Linked DNA regions of Neurospora crassa OR74A. The protein of the gene in region 2 purifies or fractionates together with the protein of the main gene of each other region. This does not show direct contact. Links are inferred from orthologs where the notes say so. Each region holds a gene or a part of one and is shown on either strand. Other genes may lie near its edges. The genes, in order: NCU03009, NCU06226, NCU08663, NCU02546, NCU05233, NCU08595 and NCU09317.

The links.
Region 1: the proteins of NCU06226 (region 2) and NCU03009 purify together in Saccharomyces cerevisiae (affinity purification with mass spectrometry; 3 studies listed by BioGRID). This does not show direct contact. The link is inferred for Neurospora crassa OR74A from reciprocal best matches to the Saccharomyces cerevisiae genes RPL25 and ZUO1.
Region 3: the proteins of NCU06226 (region 2) and NCU08663 purify together in Saccharomyces cerevisiae (affinity purification with mass spectrometry; 3 studies listed by BioGRID, with this or other methods). This does not show direct contact. The link is inferred for Neurospora crassa OR74A from reciprocal best matches to the Saccharomyces cerevisiae genes RPL25 and NMD3.
Region 4: the proteins of NCU06226 (region 2) and NCU02546 purify together in Saccharomyces cerevisiae (affinity purification with mass spectrometry; 5 studies listed by BioGRID, with this or other methods). This does not show direct contact. The link is inferred for Neurospora crassa OR74A from reciprocal best matches to the Saccharomyces cerevisiae genes RPL25 and NOG2.
Region 5: the proteins of NCU06226 (region 2) and NCU05233 purify together in Saccharomyces cerevisiae (affinity purification with mass spectrometry; 3 studies listed by BioGRID, with this or other methods). This does not show direct contact. The link is inferred for Neurospora crassa OR74A from reciprocal best matches to the Saccharomyces cerevisiae genes RPL25 and NOP53.
Region 6: the proteins of NCU06226 (region 2) and NCU08595 purify together in Saccharomyces cerevisiae (affinity purification with western blotting; 8 studies listed by BioGRID, with this or other methods). This does not show direct contact. The link is inferred for Neurospora crassa OR74A from reciprocal best matches to the Saccharomyces cerevisiae genes RPL25 and RPF2.
Region 7: the proteins of NCU06226 (region 2) and NCU09317 purify together in Saccharomyces cerevisiae (affinity purification with western blotting; 3 studies listed by BioGRID, with this or other methods). This does not show direct contact. The link is inferred for Neurospora crassa OR74A from reciprocal best matches to the Saccharomyces cerevisiae genes RPL25 and MEX67.

What each region holds. Positions count from the first base shown.
Region 1 is NC_026501.1:8,457,541-8,461,349, forward strand, and holds NCU03009 (zuotin), read right to left. Parts: upstream 2,320-3,809; 5' UTR 2,223-2,319; coding exon 1,929-2,222; intron 1,855-1,928; coding exon 811-1,854; 3' UTR 501-810; downstream 1-500. Other genes in the region: NCU03008 (hypothetical protein), read left to right, coding at 2,600-2,657, 2,742-2,915, 2,983-3,086; NCU03007 (pre-mRNA-splicing factor slt-11), read right to left, coding at 3,351-3,809. UniProt on the Saccharomyces cerevisiae protein: Component of the ribosome-associated complex (RAC), a heterodimeric chaperone complex involved in regulation of accurate translation termination and in folding or maintaining nascent polypeptides in a folding-competent state.
Region 2 is NC_026503.1:1,965,160-1,968,606, forward strand, and holds NCU06226 (60S ribosomal protein L25), read right to left. Parts: upstream 2,004-3,447; 5' UTR 1,828-2,003; coding exon 1,803-1,827; intron 1,577-1,802; coding exon 1,512-1,576; intron 1,434-1,511; coding exon 1,141-1,433; intron 1,080-1,140; coding exon 992-1,079; 3' UTR 501-991; downstream 1-500. Other genes in the region: small zinc finger protein Tim8, read left to right, coding at 1-59; NCU06227 (hypothetical protein), read left to right, coding at 2,407-3,324. UniProt on the Saccharomyces cerevisiae protein: Component of the ribosome, a large ribonucleoprotein complex responsible for the synthesis of proteins in the cell.
Region 3 is NC_026504.1:4,180,580-4,184,465, forward strand, and holds NCU08663 (60S ribosomal export protein NMD3), read left to right. Parts: upstream 1-1,187; 5' UTR 1,188-1,454; coding exon 1,455-1,516; intron 1,517-1,577; coding exon 1,578-3,075; 3' UTR 3,076-3,386; downstream 3,387-3,886. Other genes in the region: NCU08664 (tetratricopeptide repeat protein 1), read left to right, coding at 49-789. UniProt on the Saccharomyces cerevisiae protein: Acts as an adapter for the XPO1/CRM1-mediated export of the 60S ribosomal subunit. Unlikely to play a significant role in nonsense-mediated mRNA decay (NMD).
Region 4 is NC_026501.1:2,685,305-2,689,285, reverse strand, and holds the start of NCU02546 (nucleolar GTP-binding protein 2), read right to left. Parts: upstream 2,801-3,981; 5' UTR 2,469-2,800; coding exon 2,159-2,468; intron 2,098-2,158; coding exon 1,732-2,097; intron 1,677-1,731; coding exon 1,513-1,676; intron 1,132-1,512; coding exon 112-1,131; 3' UTR 1-111. Other genes in the region: NCU02545 (hypothetical protein), read left to right, coding at 3,164-3,981. UniProt on the Saccharomyces cerevisiae protein: GTPase that associates with pre-60S ribosomal subunits in the nucleolus and is required for their nuclear export and maturation.
Region 5 is NC_026504.1:5,668,606-5,672,157, forward strand, and holds NCU05233 (60S ribosome subunit biogenesis protein NOP53), read left to right. Parts: upstream 1-1,201; 5' UTR 1,202-1,433; coding exon 1,434-1,585; intron 1,586-1,658; coding exon 1,659-2,865; 3' UTR 2,866-3,052; downstream 3,053-3,552. Other genes in the region: NCU05234 (GTP-binding protein ryh1), read right to left, coding at 1-22, 107-132, 229-275; NCU05232 (AP-2 complex subunit beta), read right to left, coding at 3,375-3,552. UniProt on the Saccharomyces cerevisiae protein: Late-acting factor in the nuclear maturation of 60S ribosomal subunits, which is required for normal acquisition of export competence. Required for the export of the large subunit.
Region 6 is NC_026501.1:9,517,966-9,521,522, forward strand, and holds NCU08595 (ribosome biogenesis protein), read right to left. Parts: upstream 2,198-3,557; 5' UTR 2,096-2,197; coding exon 2,082-2,095; intron 2,016-2,081; coding exon 1,907-2,015; intron 1,837-1,906; coding exon 1,514-1,836; intron 1,444-1,513; coding exon 864-1,443; 3' UTR 501-863; downstream 1-500. UniProt on the Saccharomyces cerevisiae protein: Required for biogenesis of the 60S ribosomal subunit.
Region 7 is NC_026501.1:4,264,639-4,268,873, reverse strand, and holds the start of NCU09317 (hypothetical protein), read right to left. Parts: upstream 2,801-4,235; 5' UTR 2,274-2,800; intron 2,198-2,273; 5' UTR 2,067-2,197; coding exon 1,629-2,066; intron 1,547-1,628; coding exon 26-1,546; 3' UTR 1-25. Other genes in the region: NCU09318 (ATP-dependent DNA helicase mph-1), read left to right, coding at 3,289-4,235. UniProt on the Saccharomyces cerevisiae protein: Involved in the export of mRNA from the nucleus to the cytoplasm.

The DNA.
Region 1 (3,809 bases), on a different chromosome or scaffold from region 2:
GCAGGTTTTGGCGTACTACAGTACCTACGTACATGGACTGAGAGTGAGTTCAAGCTTGACATCTGATCGAAAATTTCCGGAAATCGAATGGCTCAGACTTTCCGGGAACAGTACACCTAGGAGTTCAAGGTGGCTGTACCTCAGCTTTGCGATCAACGGTTTGAAGGGCCCTGGACTTGTTCCCTTGCTTAGCAGTGACTTATATGTGCCTTGTGAGCTTTCCTTCTTGTTCTTTCCATCTGATAAGAAATGTACCTGCGTCGTCGGCGAAACACGCATGTAATCGTGAATTATGTACTTAGTTGCATCTGCCACATGCGCATGTGATGATGCTTTTACAGTTGCCGCTCAAGATGGCATGTACAAGCGTGCTTGTGCATGAAGCTTTACCGTACTAAAAAGGACCAAGACTGAGCGAGCAGTAAAGCATTGTTATGCGTACCTGCGTATGGAATTATGATTGTAGCCGGATAGGGGTAGATCTGTCATTCTTAGCAGTAGGTATTGTTTCTCAGGATTTATCCGAATCGTTGAAGAGATGATCGAGCCTACCGGCCAACTCATGCGCTTCATCATCAGAGTTTGGACCCACTTTCAACATCACAGCAAGTAGGGATCTCTGTAGCAGTGACAACCAGAGATACGACATCACACGTCGAAGCAGAAGTTGGCTGGCGAGGAAAAAAGTATACTCCATCTCCAATGGTATCAGTCAACAACTCTGTTTTTCTCCAGGTCTAGATTCTAGTAGTGATAGACAAACGCCAACATGATCATTCACTATTATCTCATGACTCGGTAAGAGATCATTTAAGCAGAAAGAGCCTTGAGGTCACCGGCGTTGATCTTGCCGGCACCGACAAGGCGGGCGGCCTCCTCGTTCCAGACAGCCTTGATCTCGTCAGCGACCTTGAGGTTGTTGAGCTTGCCAGCGAGGGCAGCGATCTCATCGGGATCGATCTTGGCCTGGATAAGCTCAACGTCACCGAGAACGGCATCGATGGTGGCAACAGAAGCATCGCCCTCAACGAAGTAGTTGGCATCCTTGACGGAGCCACGGAGGACACGCTTGTTCTTCTTAACAGCGTTCTTAGCAGCCTCCTTGGCCTTCTTGCTTGCCTCACGGTCCGCCTTGGCCTTCTCCTCGGCCTCCTTAGCGGCAGCCTCCTCAGCAGCCTTCTTGGCAGCAGCCTCCTCAGCGGCCTTCTTCTCGGCAGCCTCCTTCTCGAGCCTCTTCTTGTTCTTGGCGGCGTTGGCCTCCTGGCGGAACTTCTTGATACGCTCATCGGCGGCCGAGCAGTCATCGAGCAGCTTGCGGAGACGAGCATTGTCCTCAGCCTTTCTCTTCTTGCGGGTGTTGAGGTTCTTGCGCTCGGTGTGGCGTCTCTGGTCGCGGGACTCGCTGTCATCGGGAACATCCTCATCGAGGTACTCGAACGACCTCCAGCTGTCGAAGTTGTAGAAGAAGTTGTAGAAGTTCTCGACCTCTTCGCGGGTAGAGTTCTCGTTGCCGAAGCTGGGGACGGGCTGGGTGTTGCTGAAACGGCCCTCAGCCTTGAAGACGTTGCCCCAGAGCTTGTAGAAGTTGCCCTTTTGGAGCTGCTTCTTGGTGGGGGGTTCGACATCGGCTTCCTCATCAACAGAATCGAACTGGCGGCGCTTGATGGGGTCGAGGAGGACCTCGGTGGCCTTCTGGATGCACTTGAAGAAGTTGTCGTCCTCGGTGCGGCCAGCGGCGGCCTTCTTATCGGGGTGGTGCTTGAGGACCTTCTTGCGGTGAGCGCGCTTGATCTGCTCCTCGGTGGCCCTCCAGCGGTACTTGGAAAGGCCGAGAACCTTGTAGTGATCTTGTTGCTGTATACGGGGCAATCAGGTTAGCTGTCAAGGTCTTGCGTGGCGTGATACACCATTACACGCTGAGCACTAACCTTCCAGTCCTTGGCGTCGCGAGAGAGCATCATGGGGTCCTCGGGCTCGCTGAGGTCGCTCTCATTGTCCTCCTCGACGTTCTTGGCACGCTCCTGGGCCTGAATACGGTCATCCTCGGAGAAGGTGCGCTTGTGGCGGGCGCGGCGGGCGTGGGCGAGGAAGTGAGGGCCGACGGGCTCGATGGTGCGCTGGGTGGCCTCGTTCTGGGCAATCTTGCCGATGGGCTTGAAGTCCTTCTCGGCGGTCCAGCCCTCAGGGAGGGTGGGGAGAGGAAGGGGAACCACAGTAGTCATTTTTGCGGCCGATGATGAGGATGGTGATGGTTGGGTTGGGAGACAGTGACAGGCGCAGGAACCAGAAGCTTGTATAGGCGGGGCCCCTCTGTTGTCTTTTTACCGACGGAATTCTGGAAATTTTTCGATGGCTAAGCTCCCCACATCTTGCTTATCGACCGCCAATCACAATCATCGCAACTCCAAGTCCACTCCGGCCGGCAAGCCTACCCGGTCCTGGGCGACATTTTTGGAGGTCGCATTGCCGTCACTGCAACTGTTTCCAGACAAGCCTTGAATCTTTTTGTTAGACCGGAAGTTGGCGATACAATACTATTTACTTTCTTTAGAACCTGCATTCCCTTGCATGACCCTCGTTTACCAGCAGTATTGTCAACATGTCTGCCCTTCAAGCCTACCGTCACCTCATGCGCGCCGCGAGAGTTGCCTTTGATGGTACGATGTTCCCCTGCAGTCTCCTTGGTGCATCCGCCGGCCCATGTAGCTCCCCGGACTGACCGGCATGTGCCACTATCTTAGGCGATAACCGCACCCTTACGGCCGCCTACGAGTCCATCCGCCGTGGTTTCCGCGAGAACCAGAACGTTCCCGCCAACGATCCTACGATTGCGCCTGCGATTGCGCATGCCGAGGAAGTTGCCAGCTTTTTGAGATCCAATGTCGTCCAGGGCCGTAAGGACGGCGAGACCTACAGTGAGCGAAGTCTAGGGGTGCTCGAGTCATATACAGAATATGGTTGCTGACTCCATGTTCGTTGCAGAGCTACGGATTCACCAGGACACCGAGCGCGGCGACAACGATACCATCAAGCTAGGCAACCAGACCATCAAGATCGGCGGCGAGCAGAAGTGCTGCTCGGCATAAGTGAATACAAAACCATGGTTGGATAACACAAGGATTTTGGAAGCTCAAGTTCGTGAGAACGTAATGGGACAACAGGACAGTGCCGTTGCCCGTGTATATGTATAAATCATCAATGATACCCCTCAATGTAGAAAACTAGTGGAAGAGACCATGCGATATCAGGAAATGCAACGTATCCGAGATACCCTGAGCCCAAACCCCAAATCATAATAGCCTCCGAACGCCTTGCAATACCATGATTAATAAGCACTTTTCTGACCCCGCTTAGTTGCCAGAGAGACTGGCGTACTGTACGTCTGCCGCACCGGGCGGCGCTGCGATAGTGAGGTTAGATGCGTCGTCTTTCTGCGCTCCTGATGCGCCACCCTGGGCATTTTGTCCCCCGATCGCCTTTTGGCCACCTGTCTTTTGACCACTGCCAAAGGCCGACCGACCATCTCGTAGCATCTCCGAACGCTGTTCCTTGTTCATTGTTCCCAACGCCTTGGGCACGCTCCATCTAACTCTCAAGGGGCATCCGGCAATGACAGCACGGCCTTTGCACTCCGCTGAAGCCTTCTCAGCAGCCTCCCGAGTCTCGTAGTTGACGAACGCGGCATGCGACATGTGCGACACCACCAGCGACTTGATCTTTCCGAACGCCTTGAAGAAGTCGCGAATCTTGAACTCAGGCAGATCATCTTCGATACCGGTGACGAAGAGGGACATTATGCTCTTGTCGGC
Region 2 (3,447 bases):
ACGTCAACCTGACCATCATGGCCCACGTGCAAAAGATCACCAGGGGTGGCAGCAAGTAGGTCTCGCGCGCCGATAGGAAGGCGTGGGAGGATGCTTATCAGGAGGAGGAAAAAAGATGAGAACGGGACAAAAAGAAAAGAGGAGGCAGAGGAAGGAGGATGGCGAAAACGGTGACTTGTTTCCCTTGAGGAACTGGTTGTCCCGCGGGGCTGGCTGGCTACGTTTTTCGGTTGGCTGGTCCTGCTTGGTGGGCTTCTTGGGAGACTTGGAGGATGCGGCCGAGGTATCCGACGCTTGTTTTCATGGTGGTTCTGGCTGGGTCTGGTACACTCGGGCTTACTACGACGGAACGGGGGTACAGAGAAGCACCCTTTGCTAGGGAACCTTTGTTGATCCCTGCGATAGGGCTTGCGATTGAGGTTCTGGTCACAATTCTAAGAGACAGTCATTCGAGGAATTGTTACGGTTACGCCTGAAGGCTTGTACGATATATGTGATGGGACAGGGGAAGGATCAAAGGTAGAACTGGAAGGGAAAAGGGTTTATAGGGCATGGGAATTTGTTCAGGAACTTAGACAGTATGACAGGCGGTTCTTGTAGCATGATATGGGAGCGCGCGATAGCGGGATACTCATCTTCATCTTCAAACACAGACCCAATGCGCAGTGCAGGATAATTGGTTATAGAAGTGCAGATAACAATGCGACAATGAGTCCATGGTGATAGCAAGAATACAAGATGTCAGATTCAAGTCTTAGAGCAAGTAGATCTATGGCTTGCAAGGGAGGAGTTTGGATAATGGCCCATTTGGTCATGTCTGATGGAACGGGCAGAATAGTTATAAAAACTTTCATTTCCATGCCATGGACCAAACGCCAAAGGGGTATCAGACGCCGACTTCTTTTTCGTTAAACAGTAAAACCCATGTATCCCTTGAAGATAGTTTTTATCCCGAATCTTGTGTATTTCCCATAGCTATGAAATCGCTAGTTTAGACAAGGCCGAGCTTGGTGGCAGCAATGTCGAGGGCATCGACATCGGCAGTGAGGCGAGCGAAGGCCTTCTTGGAACCGTCAGGGCTGTGAGTGGAGTTAGCAACAAGAACCATATTAATGCCGGTCCATAGGGACCAAAACTAACCGGATCAGGGTGTTGATCTTGACGGTGTCAATGTCATAGAGCTTCTTGAGAGCCTGCTTGATCTGGGCCTTGTTGGCCTTGACATCGACGATGAAGACGAGGGTGTTCTGCTCCTCGATCTTCTTCAGGGCACCCTCGGTGTTGAGAGGGTGGACGATGACCTTGTGCTCATCGAGACGGGGCTCGTGAGGGATCGACTTGCGAGGGTACTTGGGAGCCCGAGACAGCTGAAGAGTCTTGGGGCGGTGGAAGGTGGTCGAGTATCTGACCTTGGTCTTCTTGTGCGAGTGCACCTAAACAGAGAAAAAGAACTCTAATCAGCATCAGAACGTCACCAGGGGGGAAGGGATCGCGAGTCGTCGCAAACTTACACCCTTGAGGGCAGCCTGGGCAGCCTTCTTGGCCTGAGCGCCCTTACCGGCCTTAGAGGCACCGCCTATCCATAGAGTCCCTCGTCAGCAAAAGCATTCGCCTGGAGCAAGATGATGCCAGAATCTTGTCCAAACTCGCAAAGTCTGCTGCTGCTTTGGTGCATCACCTCCGAATGCCATTGCGCGACACGGAGGATCCGCATTGTGCGCGGGGCGAGCATATTTGTCGAGCCGTTCAATTCATTCTTGGTGGAATCGTCGCTGGTGAGATTTTGAGGTTTCTTCAAGTACCTTTCTTGGTATCCTTAGGGGCCATTGCTGCGATTTCTGCTGTCGTCGGGCTAAGAAATCGGGATTCTCGCTGGTCGTTGTCGGAGAGGAGAAAGTTCACTTTTTGGCCAAAATTTGGGGGAGGAAAAAGTGTGCGCGCGGGATTTGTGTGGCTTGGTAGTGTGGCTGAAGTGGTACTGGCAGGGGTTGAGCTGCGCAAACTGGCGCAAACGGGCTCTGAACCACACCAGAATATCCACTTTCGCGAAATATGCTCCACAGTATTTTGAATCTCGACCTCCGATCATCACTTTATCGCTACGCACTCCGTCATTCAACCTTGAAGGTCATGATGCGCCCTCCGATCCAGCTTTCCTCCTTCTGCTCGTGGTCTGTCGGATGAAGTCGGTGCAGGACACCTTGGATTTTCACAGCTCCAAGCCTCGCTGTTCTGTGCCTATCACGACCTCCAGACAAGGACGTGGTGTAGTTGTCTTGCTAACTACAGTGTCACGAACCACCAATCGAAATCGAAAACCAATCTCACCGAGACGGATCACAGTATCGACAAGATCGACTATTTGCGGCTATATACTTGTTACAGCATAGCACGCGACGAAGGACTATGGCACCCAAGAAAGGAGTAAGCAAGAACCTTGCAGCTGGGCGTCCGCCCATGGCTACGCGACCTAAGAAAAAGGGAGTGGTCAAAAACCTGGCAGCAGGCCGTCCGCCCACGGTCACAAAGCCCAAGTCACTTGCGCGGAAAACCACGAAATCCATCATCAACAAACTCCATCTCCTAGAGAAGAGGAAGGTGCAGGCTATGAAGAAGAACGATAACACACAGGTCGCGGCAATTGAGGCGGAGATCGAGGCTTTGGGTGGTATCGAGAAATATCAGGAAGCAAGTCTCCAGGGGCAGAGACATGACCGAGGCGGCGACAGCTCCAACGTGCTCATGGAGTGGGTTGGGCCGTACCTCTCATCCGAGGAGTATAAGGAAGGCCGCTTGCGCATGCTGGAAGTTGGAGCGCTGAGTACAAAGAACGCATGTGCTCAAAGTAACCATTTCGACATCACTCGGATCGATCTCAACAGCCAAGAGCCTGGGATTCTTGAGCAGGACTTCATGGAGCGCCCGTTGCCGAAGGACGAGTCGGAGAAGTTTGACATCATCAGCCTTTCTTTGGTGCTCAACTTTGTCCCAGACCATAAGGACAGAGGCGAGATGCTGGTCCGCACGACACAATTTCTAACATCGCCGAAGCGGTTCTCCGGGACAACCGCTGCATTCTTTCCAAGTTTGTTCCTTGTGCTACCGGCCCCATGCGTCACCAACTCGCGATATCTGGATCAAGAGAGGTTAGCGGCTATTATGGAATCGATCGGGTACGAGATGGTGGAATCCAAGACAACCCAACGGCTGGTCTATTACCTGTGGAGGAGAACATCAGATCAGGTTGGAAACGACAGGCCGTTTCGCAAGGAAGAGCTACGTTCTGGCTCGTCACGCAACAACTTTGCCATTACCTTGGTCTAAGGTTTGCGAACCATTCGAACGCACACAATCGAGATCAGTCACGACATCTAACAATAAGTCACTCGACTCGACCGTTGTTGGGAGCCGATAGATCGGATGACCACAACATTGGTGTTCTCAGTC
Region 3 (3,886 bases), on a different chromosome or scaffold from region 2:
CAAAGACCCTCTTGATGCCCAAACCTCTGTGACTGACCGCCTCAGCAGGAATTGGTAGCTGAGTCCAACACACACAAAGCAGAGGCAAACGCCCTCTTCACCTCGGGCAAATACGATGCCGCCCTCAACAAATATGACGAAGCCATTGCTGTTTGTCCAAACTACCTGGACTACCCCTTGGCCGTCTTGCGCTCCAACGTGGCCGCCTGTCACCTCATGCTGGAAGCTTGGAAGGATGCCATCACGCACGCAACCAAAGCTCTGGACTTGCTTGACAAGCTAGAGCGGGAGGACAAGCTGGCTGCCGAGAAGGAAGAGAAGGAGAAGGAAGATGTCGAAGAGGAGATTGTCAGCGCTGGTGCAGCAAAGGCCGGACCCGCCGTTCCTGTCACGGAAACTGAAGCGCAGATTGCCCGCCAAAAGCGACTAGAGGATATTGCCAGGATACGGGCCAAAGCTCTGCTACGCCGGGCCCGGGCAAGGAGCGAGCTGGGTGGATGGTCCACCCTCGAGGGGGCTATCGAGGATTACAAGAAGCTATCTGCCATGACCAACCTTACGGCTACCGACCGAAAGCTCGTCCAGGCGCAACTCAGAGCACTGCCGCCCCGGGCCAAGGCTGCTCAGGAGAAGGAGACTGCTGAAATGTGGGGCAAGTTGAAGGACCTTGGGAATGGGTTGCTTAAGCCGTTTGGTCTTAGCACTGACCATTTCAAGATGGTGAAGGATGAGAAGACCGGTGGTTACAGCATGAATTTCCAGGGAGGTGGTGGCGAAGGCAAAAAGTAATGTTGTGAAAGTTAATGAGGGTCAGGGCTCTTGCGATGCCTACCAGCGTCGTGGTTGAGGATGAATGGCTTCTTGATAGTCCAGTCACCCAGCCATATGCACCTCTGACTGGGAAAGCTGATTTTCCAGTCACCTGAAAATATTATCGACCAGTAGTCAACACGAATCGACAGTTCAATGTCAACAGATCGACAAGGGGGGGAGATGATCAGGAGCTCGTACCCGACAGCTGCAATACAGCTGGCCGGAGCTAAAGCTCCATAAGTTTTGAGGCTGATTTATTGGTGTGGCAAAGCCGGCAGTAGAACGCCACAATTGTACGTACTGCTGCACTGGCTTGTGCTAATACCTCTAAGTACCCACGGTAGCCGATAGCCGATAACGAATTGCTTATCAATGCAGCGCGGGGCGATTTGGTGCTGGGCCCATCAAGAAATTTATTGACGACCGTCCCGTCAGCGCCTCCAACGTTCCCCCCCAGCGACTCGTTCTCGTCCTGGTCCATTCAAATTTCCAGTCGTCAACTTCTTTCTCATCCGCAGCAACTTCACTTGTGATTGCGACGGAACTCCCAGGTTTTCCTTTTCACGACATAGCGACTTTTGTTTGTTTTTACAATTGATACCCCGATTCATATCTTGTCGCAAACCACAACTTCATTAATCATGGATCTCGACGCTCCTATGGCCATGGCCCCGTTGATGGGCTCTGCCAGGACAGGTGCTACGTGAGTTTTGACCATGAAGACTGAAGGTTATCGAAGGCATGATTGCTGACACCACCAATAGCATTCTCTGCTGCAACTGCGGCGCTCCCATCGATGGCACATCCTCCGCCGGCGCTCTTTGCTACGACTGCATCAAGTCCACCGTCGATATCTCCCAGGGCATCCAGCGCGAGGCCACCCTCCACTTCTGCAAAGATTGCGACAGATGGCTCCTACCCCCCGCCAGCTGGGTCACAGCCGCCCCCGAATCGAGAGAGTTGTTGTCGCTATGCTTGAAGAAACTGAGGAATTTGGGCAAGGTCCGCATCACAGACGCCAGGTTCATTTGGACAGAACCCCATTCGCGAAGAGTCAAGGTTCAGGTTACGGTTCAGGATCAGGTGGCGGATGGTGTGTTGATGCAGCAAAGCTTCGAGGTCACTTACGTCGTCGCCAGCCAGCAGTGCAAGGACTGCGCCAAGTCATACACAGCCAACGTCTGGCGCGCCGCCGTACAGGTCCGCCAAAAGGTCACCCACAAGAGGACGTTCCTTTTCCTCGAACAGCTCATTCTCAGGCACCAGGCCCATCGCGACACAATCAACATCAAGGAAGAGAAGGACGGTATCGATTTCTACTTTGCCCAGAAGAACCAGGCCGAGGGATTCATCAGCTTCCTGAAGTCCGTCGTACCAGTTCTCACCAAGGAGTCGAGGCATCTTATTTCCGCGGATACACACACCGGCAACAAGTCGTACAAGTACAACTACTCCGTCGAAATCGTGCCTGTTTGCAGAGACGATTTGGTTGCCCTTCCTCTCAAACTCGCCAAGTCCATTGGCAACATTTCTCCCCTTGTCCTTTGCCACAGGATAGGAACATCTGTCAACCTTCTCGACCCCAACACCCTCCAGACCGCCGAAGTCAGCGCCGATATCTACTGGCGTGCTCCCTTCCATCCGCTTGCCGGCACTCCCGATCTTGTTGAGTTTATCGTTATGGACATCGAGTCCACAGGCGTACGAAAAGGAAAGTGGCTTCTCTCCGAGGTCCAGGTCGCTCGTGCCTCCGATCTCGGCGTGAACGACAACGTCTACTTCACTCGCACACATCTCGGCCAGCATCTCCACGCCGGTGACTCGGTGCTGGGTTACATGCTCGAGGGTACCAACTTCAACTCGGACGCGCTCGAGGCGATTGAGAGCTCCAAGGCGTACGGTTCCATGATCCCTGACGTTGTTCTCGTCAAGAAGCACTACCCGAACCGCCGCCGCAACAGAAAGAGAAACTGGAAGCTCAAGCGCATGGCCAAGGACGAGGGCGAGCTGCTGCCCAAGGCTTCGGACCAGGCCAAGATGGATGCCGAGTACGAGATGTTCTTGCGCGATGTCGAGGAGGACGAGGAGCTTCGTGCTGCTCTTGCTCTGTACAAGAACTCGCTCAAGACCAAGAGGGAGGCGGATGCCATGAGCATTGCCGATACCGACATGATGACGGAGGCTGAGGAGGATGGCCCCAAGATCAGCATGGACGAGCTCCTCGATGACTTTGAGGAAATGGAGATTCAGGATAAGGAGTAGGATGTGATCTTGATTGGAGTCTGATATGTGGATGTGAATGGCTTTGGGATTCGGGGTAAATCAAAATTCTGGGAGTTAGCTGTTCTTCAGGGTTTGCGTTTTTAAGGCATTTCATGAATAGATTCGGGAATGGGCTTGCCGTGTTGGCGCCCTCTGCATCCAACATTCTGTTGTCTTTATAGTTGTGAATGCATAGACGTGGTTGAAAGGATGCTACGACCGTCAAAGTACTAAATCAACGAAGATGTGCAACTTGTCATGTACGATGATCTTGGTCAGTCAAGGCCTAGTGTTACACATCTGCTCAAAATGTTTTCCATCCGTCTGTTTTATCTTGTCGCCTTCGGTCATCATCAATTATGAAAACAGGTTTATTTCGAGTCCGGACAAAGGTTCCAAAGCATACAACCCCAGAAAAAGGAAAACATATCACAAAATGCGCGGGGTTTCACAACGATGCAGAGGGGGCCAAGGAACAACTTTGAAACGAAGAGAAAAGATGGAAAAAATAAAACGAAAAAAAGAGAACCAGAAGGTTGATCGTTATCGCTCGGATACCGGGAGTCGAACCCGGGGCTGTTGAGAAAACAGACACTTGTAAACAAGTGAGAGTCAACGATGTTACCGCTACACCATACCCGATGAAGGATGGCTTCCGATTGTTTTATGCTTTTGTCACCAGAGGATGTGTTCTTGAACCGGAAAAGCACGAATTGTTCATGAATTGTGTGGTGGAGTTGAGGGTTGGGTGTGACATGGGTCAGGGGTTCAGTAGTAGGTGGGCTAAAGGCAAAAAGGGAAAAGGGGGTTT
Region 4 (3,981 bases), on a different chromosome or scaffold from region 2:
TATCAGTGACACCGGCCGTCATGATCCGATTGGATCGTTACCAACCCTGAGGTCGGCTATTGAACGCATGCTCGGTTCACCCCAGCCGCCCATCGCGTTCACTGACCGAGTTTACTTCCTGCTCCTCCTTTGCTTCTTCGGGGGAGGTGCTGGCGCAGCCTCGGCTTCTGACTCAGACTCTTCGAGTTCGCTGGCTCCTTCGATGTCGAGGTCGGATCCTTCCTCGTCATCTTCGACGTCAGAGCCCTCCTCCTCGCCATCCTCTTCCTCATCGCTCGACGCGTCCAGGGGTATCATATCTTCAGCAGTGCTCTTCTCCTCACCCTTCTCCTCAGCAGCCTCTTCGACCTCAGAGTCGCTGTCACTGTCGAACCCGGCAAAGTTCTCAGGGTCTTCCTCCTTGGCATCCTCTCCTGCTGAAGCGGGAGTGGTAGCAGGCGCGCTGTCGTCCTCGTCACGTTTCCGCTTCTTGGACATTTCACCGTAGCGTCCTTCGCGACCCTCCATGGTATCAGTCTCACCCTCCTCCTTTTCGGGGGCAGGCGTGAACCAAGGAATCTTGCCTCGCATGAAGTCATTGAGAACCATCTTCGCAACGCCATCAACGTCAGGCTCACCACCCTTGAGAAGTCTGCCGCCCTTCCTAGCAAGCATCTCAAGGAAATGAATATGGTCCTTCCAGCCCTTGAGCTCATATGTCCTCTCCATGTGGTGAGGTTTGACCTTGTTCAATACCGCAGGGATGTATTGCTCCGGGTTATCGACGTTTTCCACACGTACAACACCACGGAGCAGGAGATCCTGTGGCGTATCGTTCTGGTTGGGAGGAACAATGCCAGGGCAGTCGATGAGGTAGATCCTCCTCATCAAGGTGACGTACTGCCAGACCTTGGTCTCTCCGGGAATAGGGGCGACCTTAGCAACGGGCTTCCCACGAAGGGCATTGATGATACTCGACTTGCCGACGTTGGGGTAGCCAACAAGACCGACGCTGATCTGTTTCCTGTCCTTGTGCAGGATACTGAACTGTCTGAGAAGATCGATCAAAGAACCACGACCGAAGGGGTTCTTGATGCTAGATCTCATAGCACATGTAGGATGATCCTTCTGCAGAACGCGAATCCACGCGGCCTATTGTTTTCAGTTAGTCCTCAACTCGTTACTGAATATAACATATATGTATAATGTGAAGAAATGTGTGAATCATAACTAAGAAGACCACCATGGTAGAGTCTGCTCAAAGGCAGGGTGGAATTCAACTCAAACGAAACACGTCCGGTATCCCGTGAAGTCCTCCAAAACGGAGTCCATCAAATCCCCAATCCCAAGACGGGACCAGAGAGGTTGGGAGGTGGATATTAATCTCCCAGCGATGTAACAGACCAATCCCAATGAAGCGCAACTGAATGCGGGAAAGATCCTGACAAAATCCCTGGGAACCTCAGGATTTGCGCGAGGCAAGTCAAGAGATTCAAGCAGAAGGAGTGAAAGCAAATAATGGTCTACACTTACAGCAGTCTTGGAAGGAACAAGATCGATCTTGTTCAGCACGAAAATAAGATGCTTGTGAGGAGCCTCAGTGGCAAGGTATTTCTCAACGTGACGACACCTGGTTCCCAGAGGATCTCTGGCATCGATAACGTGCAGGATGACATCTGACGAATCAATGACCTTGTCTATGTGATGGTTAGCAACCCGAAGTCACAAGTCCCCAAACACAGAAGGACTTACACAGTTCGTTCCAAATACGCTTCGACTGGCCCTTTGTGAAGATAGCCTCCTTGGCCGTCGCGACACTGAAATCCTCCTCTTGAACATCGTCATCGGCAAGACCACCGCCATATCCAGAAGCACCACTTAGAAGCTTGATCTCCTCGAGTCTGGCCTGGTATGTATCCATGCTCTTCTCGCTGTGTTCTGTCAAGTCACCGATCGTGTTGAAGCTGAGTTTTGGCCTCTTCCTTTGGGCCTTGGGGCCAAAGGTCTGTGAAAACGGCTCGCTCTCAATCGTCATCTTGGCTTGGTGCTTCTTCAACGCATCCTTGGGTCCATCTCTGATCAAGCTCATGGGGAGCTTGTTGCTTTTCAACAGCACCGCTACAAGACAAGGTGCGTTAGTCTTGGTCGGCCGGACAAGTGACGGAAGAGTTGAACGTACAGTAAGGATCCTTGTCCTTCTCGGCAATCGCCTCCCGGAAAGATGTCAACGTATCTTGCGAAATGACTCTGGTGTTGTTGAACCATCTCCGGTTCGGCTCGATGACGGCTGTGGGAACATCTCTGCTCTGATACGACGCGGCCTTGACGACCTTGCCCTCCTTGTTGCGAATGGCCTTTCCCTCCTTCAGCACGTTCAAGGCCTTGATCTTCTTTGCGCTCCGGTAGAAGTTCTCGCCCTTGACCTTTGGATCACCCGTCACCTTGCCCTGTCGCTGAATGCGAGACTTTTCCTTCTTTCCTGTTCCCATTTTGGCAGATATCACTCAATGCCAGATTACCGAGTAGGTTGGTGGGTAGAGGATGCAGATGTGGAAGAATTTCGTTCTCGCCTGCGAGAGCGGCTGGGGGTATCCGTAGATCGGGGGGTTTGAGATTGACTTGAAAGAAGAAGCACACGAAAATAGGGAAGAATGGGTAAAAGGCTAGAAACGAGGCTATGGGGTATCAGATATCGGCAGAGGGTGTTGCGTGAGAATCGAGAGGATGAATGGACTGGGGAAGAAGAAAAGAAGAGAGGGAAGCGAGGAAGGAATGAGAAGGAGGAAATGCAACTCTGCGACTGGTCCCGGCGAAAGTTTTGTCAGTTTTTTTTTTGGGCGGGGTGTGGAGGCCGCGCAAAGGTCCCCATGCACAAAAAGTTTAGCGGTGTACGACGGCAGAACGCCCGCGACCAGCAAAGCTAGTAGCACCAAGAGCACTCTAGCGCCGTTCTGGCCTCCCCGAGCTTTCAGAATTTCGACGGAGTTGAAAGCCCCCTCGTACCGCGGCGTGTCCCACGATCCCGAGCCGAACCTACCTACCTAGGAGAGCGAGAGGCCGCTGCACCCGCCTGGTCCGTTCCCTCCGTCGCACGAAACCTCCGCATAGCACGGCCCGGCCAGAAGTCTCCCAACTCCGACCCCATCCCGCTCACCCCGTCTTCAGCCAACCCTCCACCTCAAAAATGGCGCCAACTCTTGCCAGGCCGTCGCTCAGCGGCGTGCAATTTATCCTTTCTTCCCCGACCACAACATGCGCTGCCACCAGCGTAGTAACACGCGCCATCGCCGCCCGATCTTTCAGCACCACCCGATCGGCTAGAGACTCGGTCTCCATCCCCCCCGATTCGCCCAACTACATCAAGGTCCCCGAGCCGCCGCAGTCTTCCGAGGTTAGGCACCCTTTCGTCAAGGGCCACCTCCCGATCCCCCGCTCCATTTTCCCAAAGAAGGGCGTCCCGGAGAAGGTCCAATCCGGCTATGTCAATCGTATCGCTCCCAAGTCCGCCGCCGAGCTGGCTGGTCTGCCGCCCAAGTCGAAACAAGAGTCGTGGCGTCGCAAGATGGCCGAGGCCCGGCGCCAGTCACTCGAGGCCGGTCTGCAGGGACTCTGGCAGCGCAAGGTGAAGCGCGACCAGAAGCAGGCGAAGGAGAGCAAGGCGCGCTACTTGGCGAACAAGCGGGCGGCCCAGGCGCCGGAGCGTCTGGACGAGGTGTTCACGCGCGCGACGATTCGCGAGAGCACGGCCAAGAACACATTCGTACCCCTGGACCCAGAGGCTTTCGTCAAGGCCGAGGAGGCGCGTATTAAACATGCAGAGAAGGAGGCGATGAAGAGCGAGGCGCGCCGGGACGCCGTCGTCCAGCTGTACGTGGCGTCCAAGAACTTCATCGTGGACGAGAAGGAGCTGGAGGAGCACGTCAACAAACACTTCACCGAGAAGATCCACAACGCCGGTCTCTGGGAAAGCGGCCGCAGCATTTGGGATTCGCAGAAGAACCC
Region 5 (3,552 bases), on a different chromosome or scaffold from region 2:
GTGATGAGCGACGTCTTGCCGACTGTTTGCGCGCAATCGTTGAGTTAGCATTGGTGTCTCGGAGAACATCGTGGAGAAAGTGTTGTAGGTTGAGGTAATCGCATACCGCTTTGTTCGCCCAAGAAGACCAACCTGGCGAGGAGAAAGAGTGGTTAGCATCTTGTCTTGTTTTGTCTTCCATTTGACTTAAGTGCATTGTCTGCAAAAGTGTCGGGTATGTTGTCTTACTTGAATTTCTTCAAGGGGTTGTTGTATGACCCGCCTGCTTGCGCCATTGTGATGGATGTGTTTGCGGATTAACGGTATTTGGCGGGGTAGGTAGGTAGGTAGGTAGGTAGGTAGCTGAAGGTATTCGGAAACACGATCAAGGGGAGGAAGCTTTCGGACTTTGGAGGAGGTGGTGGTGGTTAAGTGGCAGAAAGCTTAGTAGTGTAGGCGGTCGGAGTTGGTCTAGAGTTAGATAGGTGTCTGCTGGTCGTCGAAGTGGAAGATGGACGGCGGCGGAGAGTTGCCGGAGACTGATCATGCAGCGTTGAGTGGTCTCAGTGGTGCGACGGACGGGGCGTGGTGGCCGGGGGGTGGATGACAAGGGAGCTTGGAGGACAATCGGGTCGGTGTTTGGGATCCAGTCGGGGTCTCGTTGCCGACTTGGTTGCTGGGGTCTTTGCAGTCCGTCGAGTCTTCGTTTACCAAACAAAAATCGGGTCGAGAGATCGTTTTATAAGAGTTGATACCACAGAGAGCAGAAAATACTTGAACATTTAATATTTTGTTTGGATACAGATTAATTGATTGACCGACATTCCGTATGTACGTATGTACAAGTTTACATGTTTTTATCCATTGTTTATGCATAACCTCAAGTTCGAACAACAAAGTGTTTCTTGCGACTATTATTCAGTCTTCTTCCCCGAAGCGGACTCATGCGAGAGAAAGGGGACCGCGCCAAGCGATCAGTGGAGGGAAACAGTGGCCGCCCGCCGCCTTTCTGCGCCCAGACAAATTCGACACTTCACTTGACCAAAACGACCGAGACCGGGCATCCAATGGAAGCTTGGCGGCCGTCATTGGATTTGTCCAGAGGCCGAGGCAGCTTGGAAGTCTGATTGGCTAATTGCTCCAACTGCCAGCTGAGCACGGCTGGGGAAGGGAACTGAAGCGCTGGACGCTTGTGTTCCATGAAGTTGCTCTTCCCTGTCCTGTCTCGGGCAGGTCTTTCTTATCTTATCGCTGCCTCCTGTCGCCGCTGAAATTTTGAGTTGCACACCCCACTGGGCAGTCGGATTGATTGCAGAGGAGACCCCAGAATTCCAGGCGGTTTCGAGGTATCAATATTTCCAATTTCTTATCTGCCTCGAACCTCCGCCGACTCGTTTGATTTCTTCGAGTCGTCAACCCAACAACACAACACACCATCACATCACATATCCAAAATGCCCGTCCTAAAACCCTTGTCGGGCAATCCCGAAGCCCCCAAGCAATACAACCAACCGTCGAGAAAGGGCAAGAAGGCGTGGAGGAAGAATGTCGACGTGACAGAGGTCGAGCAGGGTCTCGATGAGTTGAACGCCCAGATTATCAAGGGGTACGGCGCTCCTTCTGTGATGCTTTGTATTACCAAAGACACCAATTGGTTAACATGAATTATCGTATAACAGTGGTGTCATTGCCGAGAAGACCTCCGAAGAACTCTTCGCCATCGACGTCAAGCCCGACACCGAAATCACCAAGAAGCTCCCCAAGCAACTCAAGAAGCCCTTGAAGGCCGACGAGATCCTCGCCCAGCGCTCCGCCGTTCCCGCCGTCTCCCTCAAGAAGCGCCCGGCTTCTGAAACCTCCGGCAAGGTCACCGACGGCGTCCTGCCCTCCAAGCGCCTGCGGGCCACCTACGTCACCCAAAAGGAGCTCAGTCGCCTGAAGCGCGTTGCCGACGGCCACCACACCACCACGGTTGAGGTCGTTGACGCCACCTTTGACGCCTGGGCCGACCCAGAGGAAGAGCAGAAAAAGAAGCAGCAGGCCGCGGAAACGTTCAACTTTTTGCCCAAGGTCGAGAAGCCCAAGGCGCCCAAGACGCTCACACAACAACCCATCTCCCTCGCCGCCACCGGCAAGCAGCTCCCCGCCGTTCCCAAGCCCAAGGGCGACAAGTCGTACAACCCCGCCTTCACCGACTACTCGGAGCGCTACCAGGAGGAGCTGCGCAAGGCCGAGGAGGCCGAACGGAAGCGGCTGGAGGAACTCGAGAAGGAGCGTCTCAAGGCCGAAGCGGCCGCCAAGTCGCGCGCCGAGGCCGAGGCCGCCGAGAAGCGCGCCGAGCTGTCGGAATGGGAGGATGATTCCGCCTGGGAAGGGGCCGAGAGCGACGCGGAAGGGTTGGCCAACAAGAAGAAGCGGCCGGAGCGCAAGACGCAAGCCCAGCGCAACAAGATCAAGCGCCGCAAGGCCGAGGAGCAGCGTCTGAAGCACGAGGCGGCCATCAAGAAGAGGGAGGCCGAGGCCGCGCGGGTCAAGCAGATTGCCAAGGAACTGGCCGAGAAGGAGAGGCAGCTTGCTCTCCAAAAAGCCGAATCCAACAATGTCGAAGAGGACGATGCTAGCCTTGAAGAAGATGACGACGTCGAGCTGCGCCGTAGGCAACTAGGCAAGTTCAAGTTGCCCGAGAAGGATCTGGAGCTGGTCTTGCCGGATGAGCTGCAGGATTCGCTGAGGTTGCTCAAGCCGGAGGGTAACTTGTTGAAAGACAGGTACAGGAATATGTTGCTTAGAGGCAAGGTGGAGGCGAGGAGGCACATTCCCTTCAAAAAGCAGGCCAAGACAAAGGTCACGGAGAAGTGGACTTTCAAGGATTTCAATCTGGCTTGAAGCGGCTCGGCTGGGTTTAAGTTTTGGGGCTTTACGGACATATACATATTCGGATTTGTTTGGTAATTGTTTTTCCTTCTACAAAATATTCCCTTTTGGTTTTTGTTAGTAGTACGTTTGTCATGTGTATATTGGCGTTTACGGTTTTCTCACTTGGTCTTCAGTGCAATAAAAGGTTGGAACATTCAAAGTGGTCCTATGCTCGCGTTTTTGTCTTTCAAGTCTTGTAGTGAGATGACATTACATGAATGTCTTCACACTCGCCCATTAACACACCAGAACATACGTAGTGACGGGATATTACTTGTTATTCGCATTATCTACAACCAAAAACCCTAACTGGATATCTTTTCCCACCACCCTACCAAATCACACACTCACCACGCTTCCCCAACTCCTAGTCTGTCTATTACATTACTACCTTGTCTCTCCTCTCTTCCCACTCTTACCCCTTCCCATCCCATCCCCCCTTTCCATTCGGAGCTAGGCACCCCTCACACCACACTCCCTCACAACAACAAATCCCCCTGAGCCCCATTCATCCCTCCCATGCCATTCATCCCCCCCATCCCCGGCTGGTACGCCGAGCTCTGACTGACCACGTACCCCTGTCCATACCCATAATGTCCCGCATCCCCACCAAAACTGTCGCCGGGCTGCTGTATCTGCATCTGCCTCATCTGCTGC
Region 6 (3,557 bases), on a different chromosome or scaffold from region 2:
ATCTCGAGTCTTAACTCTTTGGTGGGACTGGCTTTAGTCTCTTTATAGACAAGCATAAGGAAGCCATCATTGATTGATACAACTCTGCTCTAACAAACACAATTTCTGGTACAGGCATTTCATTCATAACCTTGTAGTCAGTCAACATATACACTAATCAATCGTTCTCGGCATGGATATTTGGTTTCATAATTTTGTACTAAATCAGTCTGCAGACTGCCTCACCGACACCCCTTATAGACGTTTCCAAACCAAAGATCGAAACAGGGAATAGTTCATAGGTTTTCCTATGGTTGTACATGATTATGGCATTGTCTTTTTTCTATGATTATAGATAGTTGCAAGGTAGCAAGGTAGCAAGGTAGCAAGGTAGCAAGGTATCCAGGTAGAAGAGGGAAATAGCATGAGTGCCATGTGATAGTAGGCAGCGAGTGCTGACAATACTAGATTCTTCCAAACAAAGCTGTAGCGGCAAATTCGGCCGGTCGATCGGTTGATCCTATGGTCCCATATGTTGGTTGGTATAAATATCACGTATATGCTAGATAGATGTCTAGGTCTACAAGCTTTGGCAAGGCAACTTCACGAACAACCCATCATCCATCAATAACTCCAGCTTTGGTCATCTCTTCTTTTCTGTTGATGATCTGATCTGGCATGAATGTTCATCTTCCCCAAGAGCAGCAGCAGCCAATGATATAAGATAAAGTAAAGTAATAAAACTAAAAACTCCCAAAAACGCCTTGTGTCTTGGTGGATGATCGCAACAATTGTGAGAGAAAAAAGATTAAACCTCCTCCCTGCCTGCCTTCTTCTTCATCCCCTCAACCCCTCATTCTCCCGTCTCCCTACTCTTGCTCAACTCAAAACTCAACGACATCCCTCGCCTTCTTCTTCCTCGGCCCCACGATCCTGTCACTGACCTCCTTGACGCCCTCCATCGGCATATCCGCATCATCAAAGTCCTCATCCACCACATCCCTGCTCCTCTTGAGACCCTTCATCTTTCTCGTCTGCAACTCGCTGAGATCCAGCTTGCCCATATGGATCCTACCAATCTTGTCACCGATGCTGTCCATGCTGATGTTCTTCTTGGTGCGCTCCTCGTTGGTCTTGGGCTTGCGCATCGCAGCCTTGAGCATGTCCGCGTCGGGCTGCTGGAGGCGACCGAGGCGGAAGTCCATGCGGGGGCCGTGCTCCTCGACTTCGACTCGGGGGAGCTTCTGGCCGGAACGCTTGGTGCGGATCAGGTAGGCGCGCAGGTGGAGGGTGGGTTTTGTCGAGGGGTCCGAGGGATCGGTGGAGGAGGAAGTGGGCTCGTCGGCGGAAACGACAACGCAGTACTGCAGACCCTCAACGTCGATCTTGTCTGAGGGCTCGCCGCGGAAGAAGTCGATGAGCATGGATTTGGCGGTGGTGAAGGCGTTGGGGACGGGGGATTCGCTGTGGTACTCGGTTAGCTGACGTTCATTCACTACTCCTTCCTCTTTGTCACAAGAATCGGGGGACATACAAAGCAGTACCGGCGAACACCATCAAAGGCTTGGTGCCTACGGGCACCTTCTTGGTCTTGAACTGGGCAATGCTGCGGAAGGTCTCGGGGTCGAGGTAGAACTCGAGCATGTCGAGCATCTTGTAGTCGAAGGTGCGGCAGAAGGTGATGGTGTGGGGCCTCTTCTTGCTGCTGGAGCCGAAGAGGATGAGCGAGGTGTCGTTCTTCTCAGAGAAGAAGGTCAGGGAGCTGGCGTCCTCGAAGGGGTGGACGGGGTTCTTCTTGTGGAAGCGCTTGGCGTGGGTTTGGCGCAGCGAGTAGAGATCTTGCATGGCATCTTGGGTCTGCGGACTGTATTAGATTTTGATGATACCATCATATATAGGAGGAGAGGATATGGAGGAGGTGACATACGACTTGGCTGCAGGTGGTGCCGCGAAGGAAGAGGGCGGTCTTGGGGTTCTCATTGACCTTGGGGGCACGCTTCTCGAGCGCCCTCTTGGAACGGGCTGTCCGCGGCTTGCTGTGCGGAGAAGAGAACTGTCAGCTAATGTTCGGTATGTTCCATTGTCATGATCGATTGACGTACACTTGGCGGAGCATTTTGGCGGTCTGGTTATGCGATGACGGTAGTGGGTGGATTGGATAGGTACCGCAAGGTGGTGATGTGGACTGGGGACTGTCTCCTTCACCTGCAAATCGTCGTCGTGATGGTCGAGCAAAGAAATTCCAGAACGGCGCTTATCGATAAGAGGAGACCTTGAACTCGAAATTTTGTGGGGCAGGTGGGGTCAAGATTGTCCGCTCGTCCACTGGGCGCTGGCTTTCCCCTGCCTGTCGTTCAGGGGTTCACGGGCTGTTAGGTTCCATTCCATTTCACGCCTCAACGTCACTGCAACGGCAACCAAAATCATTTCCATTTCTGCCGTCTCATCACAATTAGGTTGGTGATGGAGTCAACCTTGAGTTCCATATTCTTGTTCTGATCACTCGATAATCACTTGCTCTTTGGGAAACAAGCATTGAGCAATATGATTGCCAAGTCAGCAACATCACAAAACTCTGGCATCACTCTTACAAGGTCAGCACACTTGAGAAGATTCTGAATACACGAAGCCAACATATTGGGATGGTGTTCTTCTACACTTCGGGTTCACAATACAGATTCCTTAAAACCGTTCTACTCTGACATAAAACCAGATTTCTCCAGTCATTGCTCCCGGCGAGCATCAAGAATGCTCTCATCCACCTACTACGGACCTACCTGGCCTGTCGTTCTCTAACACCATGAAGCAGTTCAGTATAGCTTCCCTCCTCTCACAATGATCTATTTCGCCATGTCCCCTCTCTCTCTCGTGGTCGTCTTGACTGGACCATAAATGTAGGATATCCATCCAACCTGATGAGACTCCCCGGTCTCTTTCCCCATCACGTCCAAACAGCCCATACCCATCCCATCCATACTTTGCATGTATCGTACAACCTCCGGAACGCATCCCATTCACGTGGTGGCTTCTTTTACCGTTGTTCCATGGATCCTCGGCACTCCTCCTTTCACCGCCTCCGCCTCCGCCGTCACTAGGTATGTATGCCATCGGGAAGCTACCTACCTACTTTTCAACGGTTTTGAAAAAGGGCGATTGCATTCTCGTCAAGCCCAGCCCATGCCACTGAAACTGAAACTTAAACTGTCCGCAGCTGTATGTATGTATGTACATGTGGAGTGTTCGGAGACTCGGGCATTAGGAATGCATTTTCGAAAAGTTCTATGCAGTTTCCCGCGACTGAGAAGCCTGGGATGCAAGTAAACTGTCGTGACTCGTGAACTCGTTGGAAGCATGTTCCCGTGAGGGTGTGGTGAGAGAAGGAGGTTTGGATGCGGGTTGTTCCGTGCAGGCGCTCGGGCCAGAGACTCGGACTAGAGAGGTAACTAATATCGTGAGGTTGATGGAACGAGTCTTGAAGACGGGGGGTCTCGATGATGGTGGGCTATCATGGTACGATCATCCTGAAAAGGTTTTGGTCGTTCACGGCTATGTTTCTTCAAATGGCGTCAAGAAAAGTA
Region 7 (4,235 bases), on a different chromosome or scaffold from region 2:
TGACGCTGGTGACCTGCGCTGTCCCCTAGACAGCGTTGATAAAGGCCGTGGGCGGCAAGTTCGCCCTCTGCTCCTCGAATGACTTGAGTGCCAGCTCAAAGTTCCAGTTGGCAGTGCCACTGAGACACAACTCTGAGTATTCTGCTGTCATGCCAGTCCGCTTCATCACCTCCTGAATCAGCTGGTTCTTCGTGGCATCATCCAACATGACAGGTTCTGCTGGAGGCACAGCGTTGGTAACCGGAACCTGCGGGACCTGGTTGGCGACAGGGGCCTGACCAGCAGGTGTCTCCGCGGGTGTCCAGTCATGAAGGGTGAGTTGATCGCTAATAACCCGGTATGGGTGCACCGGCGGCGGGTTGCTCGGCTTGCTGGGTCCAAGAATGAACGTGCGCGTGAAGGTGCGCTTTCCGTAGAGGTTTTCTGTAGTATCGGACTCTTCAAACTGGCCATTGACGGTGATGAGCAATCCCGTAGCGAAGCCGTGGCCGGTGGGGTCCGCGAGGTTGGGGAAGGTGTGGCAGTCGATGAGCCAGGCACCAGGGTTCTCCATGCTTGGATGGCGAGTACTGGGGAGAGCCTTCCACATGTCCGCAATGAGATTTCCTCCGGTGAAGAGACGTTGTACCGTTGCTGGATTCTTCTCTCCCAATTTGTGAACGTTGCGGGAGTATTTGAGGTAAGTTTTCCAAGGAAGATTACGACCAGAATTGGCAATGGCTTGAATCGAAAACCACGAGTCGTCGTCGTAGAACTCAGCGGCGAGGCGAGCTCTGTCGCTGTCGAACATGGGGAAGAAAACTTGGACAAAGATGCTCGCCACATTGGCCTCCCCGTCCCGTAGGTTGGAGGGGAACTGCGGTAGTGGCGTGGGGTGCATGCCCTTGAGGGCCTCAGTAACCTCTTGTGGGCTGCGAACAATTTGTCCGTTGATGTTCTGTAGCGATGGGAACCATTTGATGAGTTCTGCCACGAAGTCGGGCTGGGTGGTGATGGGGTTGCCTGTGAGATGAAGCTCTTCGAGGTACTGAAAGCGGTGCTGCCACTTGGAGATCTTGGACAGACTGTCGAGGTTGTTGCTGCTCAGGTCAAGTCTCTTGATATCTGGAAGTGACGTAGCAAGCGTGAAAACCTGCATGACGTCGTTAAGGCCGTTGCTAGCAAGGGAAATGGCCTGTATCCCTTCACGCTTTTCGGCAGCGGTCTTGTACTGCTGACTAGCAATAACTACCAAGACCTTGAAGGCCTTTTCGGCCCGATCCTTGGAATCAAACGTGCCCATGCTGCTGAGGATGGGATCGGTTCCAAGAGAAGATAAGTCAAGCAGCTTCAACTCTGGATTGTAGCGCGCAGCTAGCACTGCTGTCAATTTTTGTTTGGTCTCCTCAGCAGCCTTGGAAATCTTGTCTTCGGGGCGAGGCATCCTCTCGGTGGTTTCCGTAATCGTCAGGGGTGCACCGGCATAGGTGAAGCCATTGAGCCTCAAGATCTCCGGGGCGTCATCTTTTCTGACCGTGATCCACACATAATCGCCGTCCATTATACTCTATCGATGGGTTAGAAGGTGTCGGTTATCGCAGTTGCAGAATATTGCGCGCTTGGGGATGTCGGTGGATGGGAAAGTATACCTTGCCGATTGTAACTGCTTTGTCTTTGGAAGCCTTTCGTTCCAGAAAGGTGAGAAGTGACCGAAGCCCTCCATCGCGATTGCCGGTAGCTTTGCTATTGCTCATACCGTGAATCTTCAGTGTGGCCATATTGGACTGTGTTTTGCCGACGGGACCTCCGCTGACGTAGTTCTGTAGGTTCTGCACGACCCGGGATGCTGTCCGGGAGTTCACCGCACCTCTTCCACCTCGAGCATCTTTGGAGCCACGTCCTCGACCACCGGAAGCCAACCCACCCCTACCAGAGCCACCAGCCGGAGCATCCATTGACACATCTCCATCTCGGTCCGTCCTCGGGTTTGCGCGACGCTTCTGGATTCCGCCACCGCCGCCTGTTGCTCGGGGTCCACGAGGAGGAGCCCTTCCAGTTCCGGCGCGAGGACCAGTAGGAGGTGCCATGGTTGTTCGTTGAATTCTGAAGAGAAAACGTTCGGTGTGAGTTGCGGGTGATTTTTTTTTCTCGCCGAGTTGTTGATGAAAGGACAGTGAGTCGTGGAGTTGCGAGTTGTCCTTGTTCGCCGACTTCTTCGCTGCCCCGATGGTCAAAGTTCCGGTCGTGGTCGGGGGAACTGGGGAAGGGTACTAAGATGCAGAGTCGAGGCTTACCTTTGGTGTCGCCGTTAGGCGGGAGAGCGGCCTGCTCAAGAAAAACAGGCGGCCGATGCCGACCGGGGATTGATCACCGCTGGGTGGATTTGGGACGCTGTATTTGAGAGTGGCCCAGATAGGTGTCAAAGGACACTTCGCTTAGAGTCTAGGTGCGCTTCTCTAAAGGGATTTGTCGAGGTAAAGAAAGATGTAAAAGATGCTTGGAGGTGGGGCGACAAAGACGACGCGGAGATCCAAAGGTACGGAAGTAGAAGTAGAAGGCCGCCGCTTCGCTCGTGATCGTTGGTTGAATATGCGTACGGAAGCTGCTAGCTCTGAAGCAACGGGCGAGTACGAGGATGCGCAAGAGTCATCAGCCGGTCAGTACTGAAGAGTTTGTTGGGCTGCCGATGCCAACTGACGACGCGAGAAGGTCGAGAAATGAGGAAGGTTTCGATGACGGATTGGAGAATGGAAGAAAGAAGGTTCAGCCTGCCGGACCTCCAAAAAGGAAATACCTTAGCGGCGGCAGTGGAGGAGCATGCAACTTGAACTCAAGGCAATGAGCCAAGCTCCGACCAGTGCGCCAGGCTCCAGCGGACCACAGAGACAAGCGATCGGATTTTGACGCAAACCTGCCCCACCCAAGATGCAACAGCCCCACTCTGACGCTGTTCTGCTGCGAACTCCCCAGGCGGCAGCACCCAGACTGCCCACACCAATTCACGTGCTATGGCGATGGAACGTGTCAAGGGAATAGCCCGTCCATTAAAACAGCGACGCGTCTCATATCAGGCCGGGCTTGTGTGACGATAGGGTCGGTTCACCTATGCAAACGGACTGTTATGAATGTCAATTGTTTCACTTCCAAGAATTTCATCCGACAAGCCTTAAGTTTCATCACCAGAACAAGAAGTTTAAAAAAAAAAGGCAAGAAAACAAAGTCCGGTTGTATTAACTGCCCAAGCATCGGCGCATCGAATCTCGAATCGTCAAGGTTCTTTCTTTTCTACAACCTCACAACTCTCAAGTCATGGATGACGATGACTTTGACGATATTCCTGATGAGGATTTGATGTTGGCCTTCACCCAGGCCACCGGCAACATCACATCACATCACCCCAGCAACAGCAAGCAGCTTGCCTCGTCGGCAAAACCACCAGCACAAGCGTGGCCAATATCCGATTCTGCAAGACGAATCGTTACTCCAACCGTATCGCAGGGTCAGGCTACAGCTACAGGGCGTGCCAAAACAGCAAGCAAGCCGACCACGTCAGCGACAACGTCTCGCCCGTCCCTAGCTCAGTCCAGCCAGCGTAAGAATCTGCGTCAGACGACACTATGGGGTGGCACGCTGGAGGAGGATGCGCAACCCGCCCCGCAAGCGGTGTCGAATCGACCATTCCGTGCCGATATGCCCCCAGAGCAGCCCACTCACCATGAGATTGACATAGAAGAAATGAAAACATGGGTTTATCCGATGAATCTGGGACCTATTCGAGACTACCAGTTCAGCATTGTCAAAAATGGCCTCTTCAACAACACATTGGTCGCCCTCCCCACGGGTTTGGGAAAGACATTTATTGCTGCGACAATCATGCTAAACTACATCCGCTGGACAAAAACCGCAAAGGCTGTCTTTGTTGCTCCTACGAAACCCCTTGCTTCACAACAAGTTCAAGCATGTCTCAGCATAGCGGGCATCCCGCGATCTCAGGCGACTCTCCTAACCGGAGAGACTCCTCCTGTTCTACGTGAGGACGAATGGGCAACAAAGCGCCTGTTCTTCATGACACCCCAAACACTAATGAATGACCTTTCCAAGGGCTATGCCGATCCCAAGTCCATCGTACTGCTGGTTATTGACGAGGCGCATCGTGCGACTGGAGACTATGCATACGTCAAGGTGGTCGAATTTTTAAGGCGTTTCTCCAAGAGCTTTCGAATTCTTGCTCTGACTGCTACACCAGGATCGTCTCT